Linked DNA regions of Caenorhabditis elegans. The protein of the gene in region 2 interacts with the protein of the main gene of each other region in a pairwise test. Each region holds a gene or a part of one and is shown on either strand. Other genes may lie near its edges.

Region 1 (3,756 bases), on a different chromosome or scaffold from region 2:
TTGAGATTTGCAGCTGCAGTGGGGCCCAGAGACGTGTCGCGTTCGCCTGGAAAGATTTGAAGGTTAACAATGATTTTTTTGTTTGACAGTAAAAAGAAAGAAAAACTCACCCCAAACCACTAAAGTTGGCACAGTATAGGAAGAAGGGCTGACGACTTCGTGGGTGTTTGATGGGGCGACTAGGACCACACATGAGAGCTACAATAGTGAAATTAAATTGAACGAGCAATATTTGGTGTCAAATTGTGTTCAATGTTCTATGTTTGATGTTGTAAATAGTTAATAGGAGTATGATAAAATTATTACTCAAAAACAGGGGTGTGCGGCAAATCTCAAAATTTGCCGAGCTCGGCAAATTCGGGAAATCTCTTTTTTCATTATTTGCCGAGCACGGCAAATTCGGCAAATTTGTCGAGCTCGGCAAATTCGGAAAATTTTGATAATTCTTGATGTTTTTTGGAACACCAAAACTACCGAATTCTTAACACACATCTGGTTTCTGAATAAGTTCCGTGTAGTATGTCTGCATAAGCATAAAAATAACTCAATTTTGTGTCATTTTACTAAATTTTTGGCGAAAAAATCAATAATTTTAGCCAAAATTGTACTGTTAAATTTTTGACGTGTGCGGCAAATTTCGAAATTTGCCGAGCTCGGCAAATTCGGCAAATCTACTTTTTTGAAATTTGCCGTGCTCGGCTAATTCGGCAAATTCGGCAAATTTGCCGCACACCCCTGCTCAAAAACATTAATTTTTTAAGGAAAATCATAAATCGGAAGTCGACATAGACAATTGCTCATCGAGAAGTTATAGTTGTCAAAATTACTGTTAGGTTGGCGGAAAATTCAAATTTTCTGGAAAAATAGAATTTTGCTGGAAATTCAAATGTTCTCCAGAACAATTTTTACTAAAAATCAAAGTTTTATGAGAAAATATTTCTTGGCGGCAATTTCAAATTTTATGAAGAATATAATTTTGGTTGTGGTGCCAGGCTTTTCTATTACGGGTTGATCTACAAAAAATGCGGGATTTTTTTGCCCAAGAAAATGTGAGGTCAGCACGTTCTTAACCATGCGAATCAGCAGAGAACTCTGCGCCTCTTCTCCCGCATTTTTTGTAGATCTACTTAGATCAAACCGAAATGGAGCACTCTGACGCGCGGGAAGCAACATTTTCATAGAATAATTTTAGCTGGATGTTAAAACTTTATGAAAAACTATGGTAGGCAATTTGAATTTGCAGAAAAACATTTTCTGAAATTTTTTAGATATCTTTTTTAAAGATATAACTGATGGAACTTGACATAGACAAATGCTCGAAACCAAAAATCTCAATTTTTGATAAAAACTCACATGTCTCGTAGAAGTCATCAGTGGCAAAACATATTGTGCCGCCATCGAAGCACACACAATCATCACCTGCTTCAGACCCAGCGTTTCGATGAAATCCATCAAAAAATTCGGTTTCTCAGCTTGTGGGATAGCTGCTCCGCGAGTTTGGCCCGAGCCGGGAAGGTCGATGGCTATGGCACGGTAGCCGAGAGCCGCGAATGTTCTCAAATAGTTGAAAACTTGAATTTTAAGCTAGAAATCAAGAAAAACCTCACCTCAACAAATTATTCTCTGTCCACGTAGATGATGAGAAGCTCTGTCCATGTAAAAAGATGACTGTAGCCTTGGAATAGTGTGCTCCAGGTGGACGGGCTTCTCGGACGAATACTGAATGTGTCTGAAACTCGAACTCTAATTTTACAAAATTAACTTAAAGCAAAAGCTAAAATCTCACCCCTAACTCCACCCGGCTCTCATCATACTCCACCAGCTGTGCAAGTTTCCGCGCATTTTCTGGAATTGGGTGCGAAAGGTCGGCTCGTTCCAGTAGAGAACCCCCACTGGTGGTGGCGTGGTGGGATCCTAGGGGTTGGTGGTGGAGAAGAACCATTTTTGTATTGATCGGGGCTGAAAATTTGAAAATTTGGAAAAATTGATAGTTTTGTTAGATTATTGAGATAAAACAAAGCTTATTGAAAGAAAGGATTTAGAATTGTTTAACTTTGGAAGCTTGTATCTCGGTTAGTTTTAATAATATAAAGTAATGAAAAACTACATTGTTATAGAAAAAAAGCTGACCAATATTTTGTCAGTTGACAATTTTTTGATAAAACCAAAGAAATTCGAGATATGAGCCATTAAAGCTTAACGGTAAGTTTTGAGCATGCGTCACATAACTTTAATAGCTTGTATCTTGTTCAATTTTGTACATATCAAAAAATTAACTTAACTACAAAGTCATAGAAAAGGATGTAACCGATGTTTTGTCAGTTGACAGCTTTATAATAACTCATAAAATAACCGAGAGTAAACCTAATGATGATTTTTTGGTCGATGCACCATGTTTTACACCCATTCACGTTGACAATTAAAGGTGGTGTAGCACGTGCTCGCTGGCTGTCTCTTTGCATAATTTCGATGAAAACGCGCCCCATTCAGAATATTGTCGGTGAAATTCACTCGGACGAGCGAAGAAAAGAAATGAGACCGTCTCGTTGTCTGCGTCTCATCTTTTACACGCTATTTTCTTCTCCGAGAGGACTACGCGACCGGGGGGACGAGGAATCCTCCTCTTCCACCGTTTTCAAGGCCATTTCGCTCATTTTTTTCACGTTTTCTCGTCCGCGAGAAAATAGCAATTTTGAGACAGCCAGCGACCACGTGGTGTAGTCGAATTTGAGACTGTGCTTTAAAACATTCTCTATGCTCTTACAAGTCTATATGTAAAAGCGAAGCATCACAAAAATTTCGCTAAAGCGAGTTATGAGCCTTCAAAGTGCCGAAAAAAATCTCTTCGTCCATCCAATTTGAATTTCGCGCGCAAATGAGCGCCCCCTCGTGTGTACTCCTCTCGGACAATCAAATATGGCAATTTTAGGCGATTTTTCGTATTTTTGAAAGATTTTTCATAGTTTTTTCTGTGTTTTAATGGAAATAACAAAGAGTGAAAGTCTATGAATATAATTTGAACCGATTGATTGCTCAATTACACCAAAAAATAGACAAAACTAGCATTTTATTGAATTATCCAGTTATTACTCCATTTTTTGTACTGTATTACGTTAAATATTTGACAAAATACGATTTATTGTCTCTCGAAACATAAATTTCCAATAAAAAACGAGAATAGGCTCATTAAAGTACGAAAAATCACCTAAAATTGCCGAAAAGCAATAAATTAATTATGTGATTGTCCGAGAGGAGTACACACGAGGGGCGCTCATTTGCGCGCGAAATTCAAATTAGATGGACGAAGAGATTTTTTTCGGCACTTTGAAGGCTCATAACTTCCGTTAGCGAAATTTTTGTGATGTTTCGCTTATTCATATCGACTTGTACGAGCATAAAGAAGATTTTTAAGCATAGTCTCAAATTCGACTACACCACCTTTAATATCTCGGCTTATTTTAAAGATATCAAAATATCAAAAAAAAAGTTTAACTACAGAATTATAATAAAAAAATGTAACAAGTAATTTGTTAGTTGACAACTTTTTGATACAACTAAAGACAGCCGAGATATGAGCTGCCGACGTTGAGTCAGTCGATGCATCATGTTTCTCACTTTGGTTTTGGCAGGTCATATCTCGCTTTATTTGAAAGATATCAATAAACCGTAAACTAGAAAATCATAGAAAAATACTTAACAAACATTTTGTTAGTTAACAAATTTTTGATACCACTAAAGATAACCGAGATATGAGCC
Region 2 (3,756 bases):
TTGGTAGTTTATTCAGCTTTTTGGGGCAGCTCCATTTCAATAAAATGTTGGCGAAATTGGAGATTTCAGCTGAATCTCAAAAGTGCATCTCAAGAAATTAGCTGTTTTTTAAAAACTAGGTCTTTTTGAGCGTTCAAAATCTCACAACAAACATGCATTTTCTCACTCTTCATGCTTATACCAACCTGGATCTTGGAGTTCTGCTCTCATTTGCAAGAACTGATAATGGAACATGCTCTTCACGAGGCCTGGCAGCTGCATCTTTGATTCGATGGCCAAGTTGTTGCTGTAGATTTTCGAGACATTGGGCTGTTTGTCGGTGGAAATCGAGTTGGGCTTCAATGAGGGCTCGTAGTTGAGATATTTGCTCGACCTGAAAAGAATTTTTTTGTGATTATATCTAAAAGGGGAAGTGGAAAAAAATTTCAGCAGATTAAAAAAAAATTAAACTTTGACAGCTTATATTGAAAGGAATTGTATAAAATACTGATTAAAAACATAGTATAGAACAGGATCAAAATTCGAACAATCCTCGTGGCCTATGATTTCGCTAGTTAAATTTTGAAGGTTTTTCGTTGATTTTTCTGACATAAAAATTCGAAATCTTAACGGATTTTTCCCGTTTTTCTTTTGTTATATTCGTAAGTTTGAGAATAATCCTTCTTAAAAATAAAACTAAGGGTAACCGATGTCAAATAGCAAGTCTAATAGGGGAAAATAGTAAAAACTTCCAAAAAAAAATCGTAAAACTCACATCATTACTAAGCACATTGAACATTGACATTTCAGCGAGTCGCTTTGATTCTTCCAGCTTCTCCTCCGCCTGAATCATCTCATCATCACGTCGTTGCTGACGCTTTTTGCAGTCGTAGTCAAGTCGACGTCCTTTCAGTTTTGTGCGGTGGTGCTGAATAATGAATTAATAATAAACCCTTTTTTACGCAAAAAAGCTTACATTCACATCTTTCAGCTCATTATTCTGCAAATGTGTTAATGGATCGAGAAAGTTTTGTTTAACATTATCCTCCATTTGATACTTGATATCAGCCATTTGTCGATACGTTTCTGCAGCATCGTTTAGGCTCTGGAATTGAAAAAAATTGTAATTTAAAATTATGATTAAGAAGATTTTGAAGCCGTGCAAAAAATTTTAATCTAAAAAATACCGAAGTAGTGGTTTTCTAATATCAACCTAATGTTTCAATTAAATTATTAATATAAACAAAATAAATAGTAATTTTATTTTTGCTGTATTTTGGTCACATTTTCAGAAATTGCTCACAGAACAAATATTGACAAATGTTGCTAAAAAATGGGTTTTTTTTCAGAAATTAAAATTCCAAAAGGGATGGCAAACCTTTCCCAAATCGCTGTTATCACCCAATTGTTGTCCATATTTCTGCATGACGTCAGCCAACATTCCTTCTGTTTGTGGATACGGTGACGTTTTTGTAGTTCCACGAACTTTTGACAGGGCAACTTGTGTGGCCATTTTTGCTCGAGTAGCTGGATTTGGTTGAAGATATTCATTTGTTCCGGCGACGAGATCCGTAATTAAATTATACGTTGTATCCACATTTTTCTCCATTTCATTGAACACATCGTCAAGTTTTGTTGGCTCTGCGGCGCCCATCGTCTCCGAAAGGTATTGATTCGCCTTGTTGAATTGCTTACGTAACCCCGACAACGACATTTTTCTGAAAATTTTGAGTTTTAGATTCGGAATAACATGTTAATTAATTGATAATTAAAACAACTGAAAATAAATATTCAAAAACCAGACTTATTTTCCTTTAGATTTAAAACACTTGGGAATCACGGTGAGCAAGATTTGAAAGTTTCGATAAAATGAGCTTCTTGAATTCTTGGAGTTTCGCCTGTGGATTTTTTATTTTAAATGAAAGAAAATACCACTTAAAGATCAGATAAAACTGTTGAAAAATTATAAATTCTAATGATTTTGTAATAATAAATTAAAAAGTGTAAAAATAATTTCCACCCTTGTTTCAGCAGTTGGAATACAGTTTTTTTTAATCAAAATATTTATCTTTATTGTATATTTTGGTCGGTTTTCTAGAAAAATTTCGATTATAAGCAAAATTTGGCACTTTTTTCGGATTTTTCATCAAATTTTGAAATTTAAAAACTATTTTTCATAGGTATAATCTGGTATTTTCTATCAATTAAAACAAAAAAATCCACAGACCCTCAGGCTGTATGTAAAACTTTGCATTAAACCTTAAAACTGAGAGAACTAAAGGTTGAACATTATAAATTCATGAAAGAAACTGTGCAGGAAATCTAAAATAAAACTGACATCAGGTAGATCGCTACAAACTTTTTCAAAAGTACAACTCGAATTTTCAGTTCGAAGATAAAATCCTCAAAAGTGCAGTTTTCTCGGAAAAAGCATTCCAAAAAGAAATGCTAATGTGAATGATCTTATGATCTAGGATTTATTCTGATGTACACTTTTATGGTTATAAAGCATGAGAATGAGAACTGAAGGAAGTTTTAAAAACTCTAAATTTCAAAGAAAACAAGTTCCCAGTAGAAAGGTAGAGCTTCAGAAAAGTTGCAAGAAGCAATTAAAGAAAAAGCCTGCTTCGGAGCAAGAGAGGTAGTTAACCATTAACTAGACCTACTTTCGTATTCCGGAAAAAGGCGGGGACACACACACACAACACAACGCCGGACTCTAGTAAAAGGAGAAGCACGGGAGAGAAAGATGGGGGAGGAGAAGCCGTTGTGCACGGAGAGCTCCACCCCCTCATCTTCTTCTTCGTCTTCTTCTCTTCAACACCGCCAACCCCACAGATGTATCGATTCAGTTATTTTCGTTTCGTTCCTCTGTGTCCTCCATCCTCTCTGCCTTTCATTTTTTTTCTCCGACCTCGGGCGCCCTCTTTCCGCGCGAAAAGAGAGAGAAAGATGAGGAAAAACTCACACAGACACACGAAACACACTACTCTCACACATAGTTCCAACCGAAGAGAGCACCCCGAAAAAATAGAAGACGTAGATTACGTAAAGCAAAGAAAACTGAGACGAAGAAGACGCCGTTAGTGGTGGTGGTGTTGTGGGGGAGGAGAAGGTTATTCTTTCTTTTATCTATGTGGCAGATAGAGGGAAAAAAGACGAATCGGTGTATATTTGCTTGTGCATGAAAGACTCTAGCCTACCCACTACTTAATGTTTGTGTGTGTGGATAGGCATAATGATTGGGCACACTCAAGGGTTGCTACTTGGAAAAATCTGGAAAACAATTGGAAAAGTTAAATTTTATCCCGACAGAGAGCATTTGTTGGATAATGATTAACGAAATTTCACTTTCCTAGCATAAAAAGAGTTTTAAAGCTAAATATAATTTAAATGCAGCTTTTTAAAGACGGGGTTGCTTAAAATGCTAGAAAATGGAGCATAATGGTCGAATTTTAAAAAAGTGTTTAAAAATTTATAAAATTATTCTAAATTTCAAGAAAAAAAACCAATGATTTTTCAATTTTGCAAAAAAATTTATGACATTTTCTCGTAAAGAAAACTTGATAACCCGAAAGAAAATCTTCAAAATTGGTCTAAAAATCGATAATTTTACATAAATTTATAATTTTTTATGGAAAACTGAAAACTTGAGAAATGTTTGTTCATTTTTTTTACATTATTGAATTTATTCGGTCCATTTTTATAATTTTAGGCAAAATTCTAACCCTTATGTCTACCAAGATTATGCTTTTCATGCTGTTTTTTATTTGTTCA
Region 3 (3,756 bases), on a different chromosome or scaffold from region 2:
AAATAGTCTCAAAAACATTTTCCATAACATGTCCATTTGATTCCACGACATGAAGACGTGCCTCAATGTTACGATCAGATGATTTTCCAGATAATTCAGCCTGCATTAAAGTAATATACATCTCATTTCGACTATCTTCAATTGAAACTGCTGTTCTATCAGCTCTTCGTAGAATCGCCGCTGGACATCTACTGAACAAATGTGGGTGTCTTGCCTTGATTTGAGAAACATTTCCAGGAACTAATTGGGTACTTATCAATAGTTTTGTTTCCATATCGTTGCTTAAATTCTTCGGTATACGATTTGTAGCGTGATATGCTTTTAGAGATAATGGAAGTTCTGGTTCTCGATTCAGGAAAATTACACGTTCTTTTGCTTCGTGGCCAACACCAGCAAGAAAGATGCTTGACATTTCCATGATGTCCGAGGCGTACGCTGAAAGTAGCAGCAATAAATTTTTGTATTCCAACCAGGGTTGCGCGGCAATTACTAACCGGTAATTCTACAAAATCAGGCAGTGGGCATGTTCTTCCAATATTTTTCATTAAAATTTAGTGATATTGATAGGCGAAAATAAAAATAAAAAAACCAATTTTCGCCAAAAATTGGCGAAAATTACTGGGAGAACATGCTACACTAGCTCATTTTGTGATTTAAACTCACATTGCCTACAATAAAATGTCTTTGGTATAGTTGCTTCGTGATGTCCATGCTTTCTCATCGTAGCATTAGAAGATTCAATCGGTGATACATGAACAACTCGAGTTACCATCAAATACTTTTTCTGAATATCTTCTTTTGCAAAATCAGTGAACAGTGCTTTCAAATTTAAATCCGTGTGTTTTCCACTACCGCTGTTCCAGAGAAATGTATAACTATCTCTGAAAATAATGCAACTATTGTCTTTTTCAGAAAAATTGTGAGTTACGTGGTGAACATTTTCTTGTCCAGATCATATAGTGATATGCTTATTTCACAGGAATATTTACAATGGAGTTCGACAGATTTAATGGAGAGCAGCAATGAGAAACTATCGTTGATTGTAACATTTTCAGGTTTCTCCCGCTGAAAATTTGAAAAATATATTGCTTGTAAGAGAAAAAATAGTATACCATCAATGATCCGACCCTTCCTTTCGAAGAAATGTGTGCTTCATATGTTCTAAGAAGTGAAAGTGATTCAACGTCAAGCGGAACACCCTCTTCATTGCGAATCACTACATCTTGGCCAAGAATTGTATTTCCACGGTCTACCAGTTTTGAAACGCGCAATCGGAGTTTGCTCAACTCTTCAATTGGAATCCCACCTAAAAGCATAATTATTTTACTATATTCCTGATAAAGAAACAAAATTACCACTTTCGATTTTAGTTTTTATTATTAGTAGTTCATTAAAACTATCCATCAAGTCTTCGAATGATCCAATCCTTGTCGTTTCCACCATCAATTCTTTAATTTTGGTCCACCATTCATTAATAACTCTGGAAATTTCATCCACAACGAGATATCCGTCACTTGTCGATACGAACATGGACTTTTGAACGATTTGTACATAGGCAAGTGGAAAAATCCCACATTTTCCATTTTTCTCGTCAAATTTTCGACCATATCCCCACTCTCCGTGCTGCCCGTAAACACATATTCGATCGCCAATAAAAAGTTCTAATCGTGGAGCATCACAAGATGGAAGCGGATCCTCAAATGTGTATTGAACTGAAAAATAAGATATTTAAATAGTTGCGAAGTGAAAACAAACCGATTGCATAATAGAAACCCGTCGTTGCCATTACGAACTCATTTATCTGAAGATTTAAGCTTGAATTTTCAATTAAAACGGACAATTTAATTTAAAACTACGTTATATTAATTTAAAATATCAAATATAAATATACAAATCAAAACGGAGACAGTTTCTGTGAGAAACAAACGTAAATATCACGAGAACTGTTTATTTCTGATGAGTAACTGTTTATCCGAGAGGAGTCCACAAACCGTGGCCGAGGATTTATGCTTGTGGAACCTAGGCCATTGTTGCCGGGAGAATGAATTTGGAAGTCAATTGGCAGAATAACCGTATACGTTTTGGATTCCATTGAATTTTTAACAGTTTTAAATTTAATATTTTAATAGTTAATGTATAACAAAACCGATAAAATGCATGTTTTGTCATAAATATAATGTGAATATCTATATTTTATGGTAACTTCGTGTTATATTTTTAAATTTTTTTCTATAGAATCAGAAAAAAAATTCCAGAAAACCAATGGAAATTGATGATCTAGAATCTACATCAAATTCAGTGCATAAATCACCACCCAAAAAACGGAGACGTGTGAAGAAGAAGAAAAGAAATGAGGAAGATGAAGAGTGTAAATTGGTTTTTATAATAAAAATATTTTTTCTTCACTTTGATTTACAGACGAAGAGAACAAAAATATGGCCACTCAAATAAATCAAAAATTTGGTTCAAAGTATAAATCAAATAGAAAAGATGAGACTCCGATGTTTGAAGTGAGAAATGGAAAATCAGTTATCAAAAATTCGGGGAATCACGAAGCAACTGTCAATCGAACTTTGGATTTTCACATGACAAAGCTTTTTCAGGTACGATTAAAATGATAAATCTAATTTTTATTATTAATTTTCAGTGGGAAGAGCAGTCAGACGCCATTGAATCTTCCTATGTGTGTGCATTGTGCCACGAAAATGGAGAGAAACGAGAACTTTTTGGACCATATTATGCAACACATAATCCAATTAAATATTGGCCATCTTTCCTGGCTAAGAAACCTGTAACAACCCATCCCATTCTCTAAAATCTAAAAATTAATTAACTTTTCAGACTGCCAAAAAACCTACAAAAATCGAATTATGGTTCCATGGCTCATGTGTTTTATGGGCTCCAAATGTGCATCTTCACGGCAATCAGCTAACAAATCTGGATAATCAAATCGATATTTTCTGGTCTCAAACGTGCATAGTTTGCCGCAAAACTGGTGCCGCAATTTCTGTACAAAATAAGAAAAACACGTTCATTCATTACCCATGTGCCAAAAACAAAGGTACAGACATTCCAGACAAAATACCTCCCACTCTTATCAGTTTTTTACAGGCTATAAACTCGACGAGCACGCTCTCTTGTGCAATTCGTGAAAAATCGATTCTCATTTCTCATCAAACAAGTTTTGCTTTTCAATTATGTTTTTTTTTCATTTTTTACATTCTCATGTCCCATGTTTTACCAATTGCACACTGAAACAACGAAATAAAAGATTTCAGTTTTATAATACAAATTTAATTTTATTGAAACTCCACATTTTCGCAACACTTGAATAACGATTCTTGTTATTATTGGGATGCAGAAAATTTCCTCTTTTTGAAATCTAGGTGATGACGCTCCGCCCCCGAGTCACGGGTCTCGTCAGGAATTTGGCATAAATTTCAACCATCTTTTGTCTATTTTGTTATTTTTAGTTTTCTGAAAATTTCAAGTCTTAAATTTTGCCATAAAATCATTAAAAAGACGAGAAAGCTGAAAAAATTTGAAAACAATCGAATTTACGGATTTAACTCCAAATACCACGAGACCCATGGTTCGGGGGCGGAGCGTTTTCAATTAACCAAGGAGCGAGTTTTCACGTCGATTTCAAAAAGTCATTTTTCTGCTTCCCTATAATAGGCTAAAAATGTTGGCGAACATTTACCTATCAGATGCGCTCGCGCGTCAATGAAAAGTGAATAACAATTCAAACGCAAT

The links.
Region 1: the proteins of unc-57 (region 2) and abhd-14 interact in a two-hybrid assay, tested with the Caenorhabditis elegans proteins (one large-scale study listed by BioGRID).
Region 3: the proteins of unc-57 (region 2) and ced-5 interact in a two-hybrid assay, tested with the Caenorhabditis elegans proteins (one large-scale study listed by BioGRID).

Annotation. Positions count from the first base shown.
Region 1 is NC_003282.8:1,028,075-1,031,830, forward strand, and holds the start of abhd-14 (AB hydrolase-1 domain-containing protein), read right to left. Parts: upstream 1,966-3,756; 5' UTR 1,943-1,965; coding exon 1,787-1,942; intron 1,730-1,786; coding exon 1,608-1,729; intron 1,556-1,607; coding exon 1,354-1,555; intron 199-1,353; coding exon 111-198; intron 47-110; coding exon 1-46.
Region 2 is NC_003279.8:4,673,076-4,676,831, reverse strand, and holds the start of unc-57 (Endophilin-A homolog), read right to left. Parts: upstream 1,698-3,756; 5' UTR 1,694-1,697; coding exon 1,358-1,693; intron 1,085-1,357; coding exon 956-1,084; intron 908-955; coding exon 755-907; intron 374-754; coding exon 186-373; intron 1-185. UniProt on the Caenorhabditis elegans protein: Involved in synaptic vesicle (SV) recycling in neurons probably by regulating clathrin-mediated endocytosis. By controlling SV endocytosis, regulates the rate of excitatory postsynaptic currents (EPSCs) at neuromuscular junctions and thus locomotion.
Region 3 is NC_003282.8:10,482,155-10,485,910, reverse strand, and holds the start of ced-5 (Dedicator of cytokinesis protein 1), read right to left. Parts: upstream 1,802-3,756; 5' UTR 1,787-1,801; coding exon 1,756-1,786; intron 1,713-1,755; coding exon 1,356-1,712; intron 1,307-1,355; coding exon 1,113-1,306; intron 1,066-1,112; coding exon 929-1,065; intron 882-928; coding exon 664-881; intron 436-663; coding exon 1-435. Other genes in the region: F01D4.5 (PHD-type domain-containing protein), read left to right, coding at 2,263-2,368, 2,419-2,603, 2,648-2,791, 2,842-3,061, 3,102-3,118.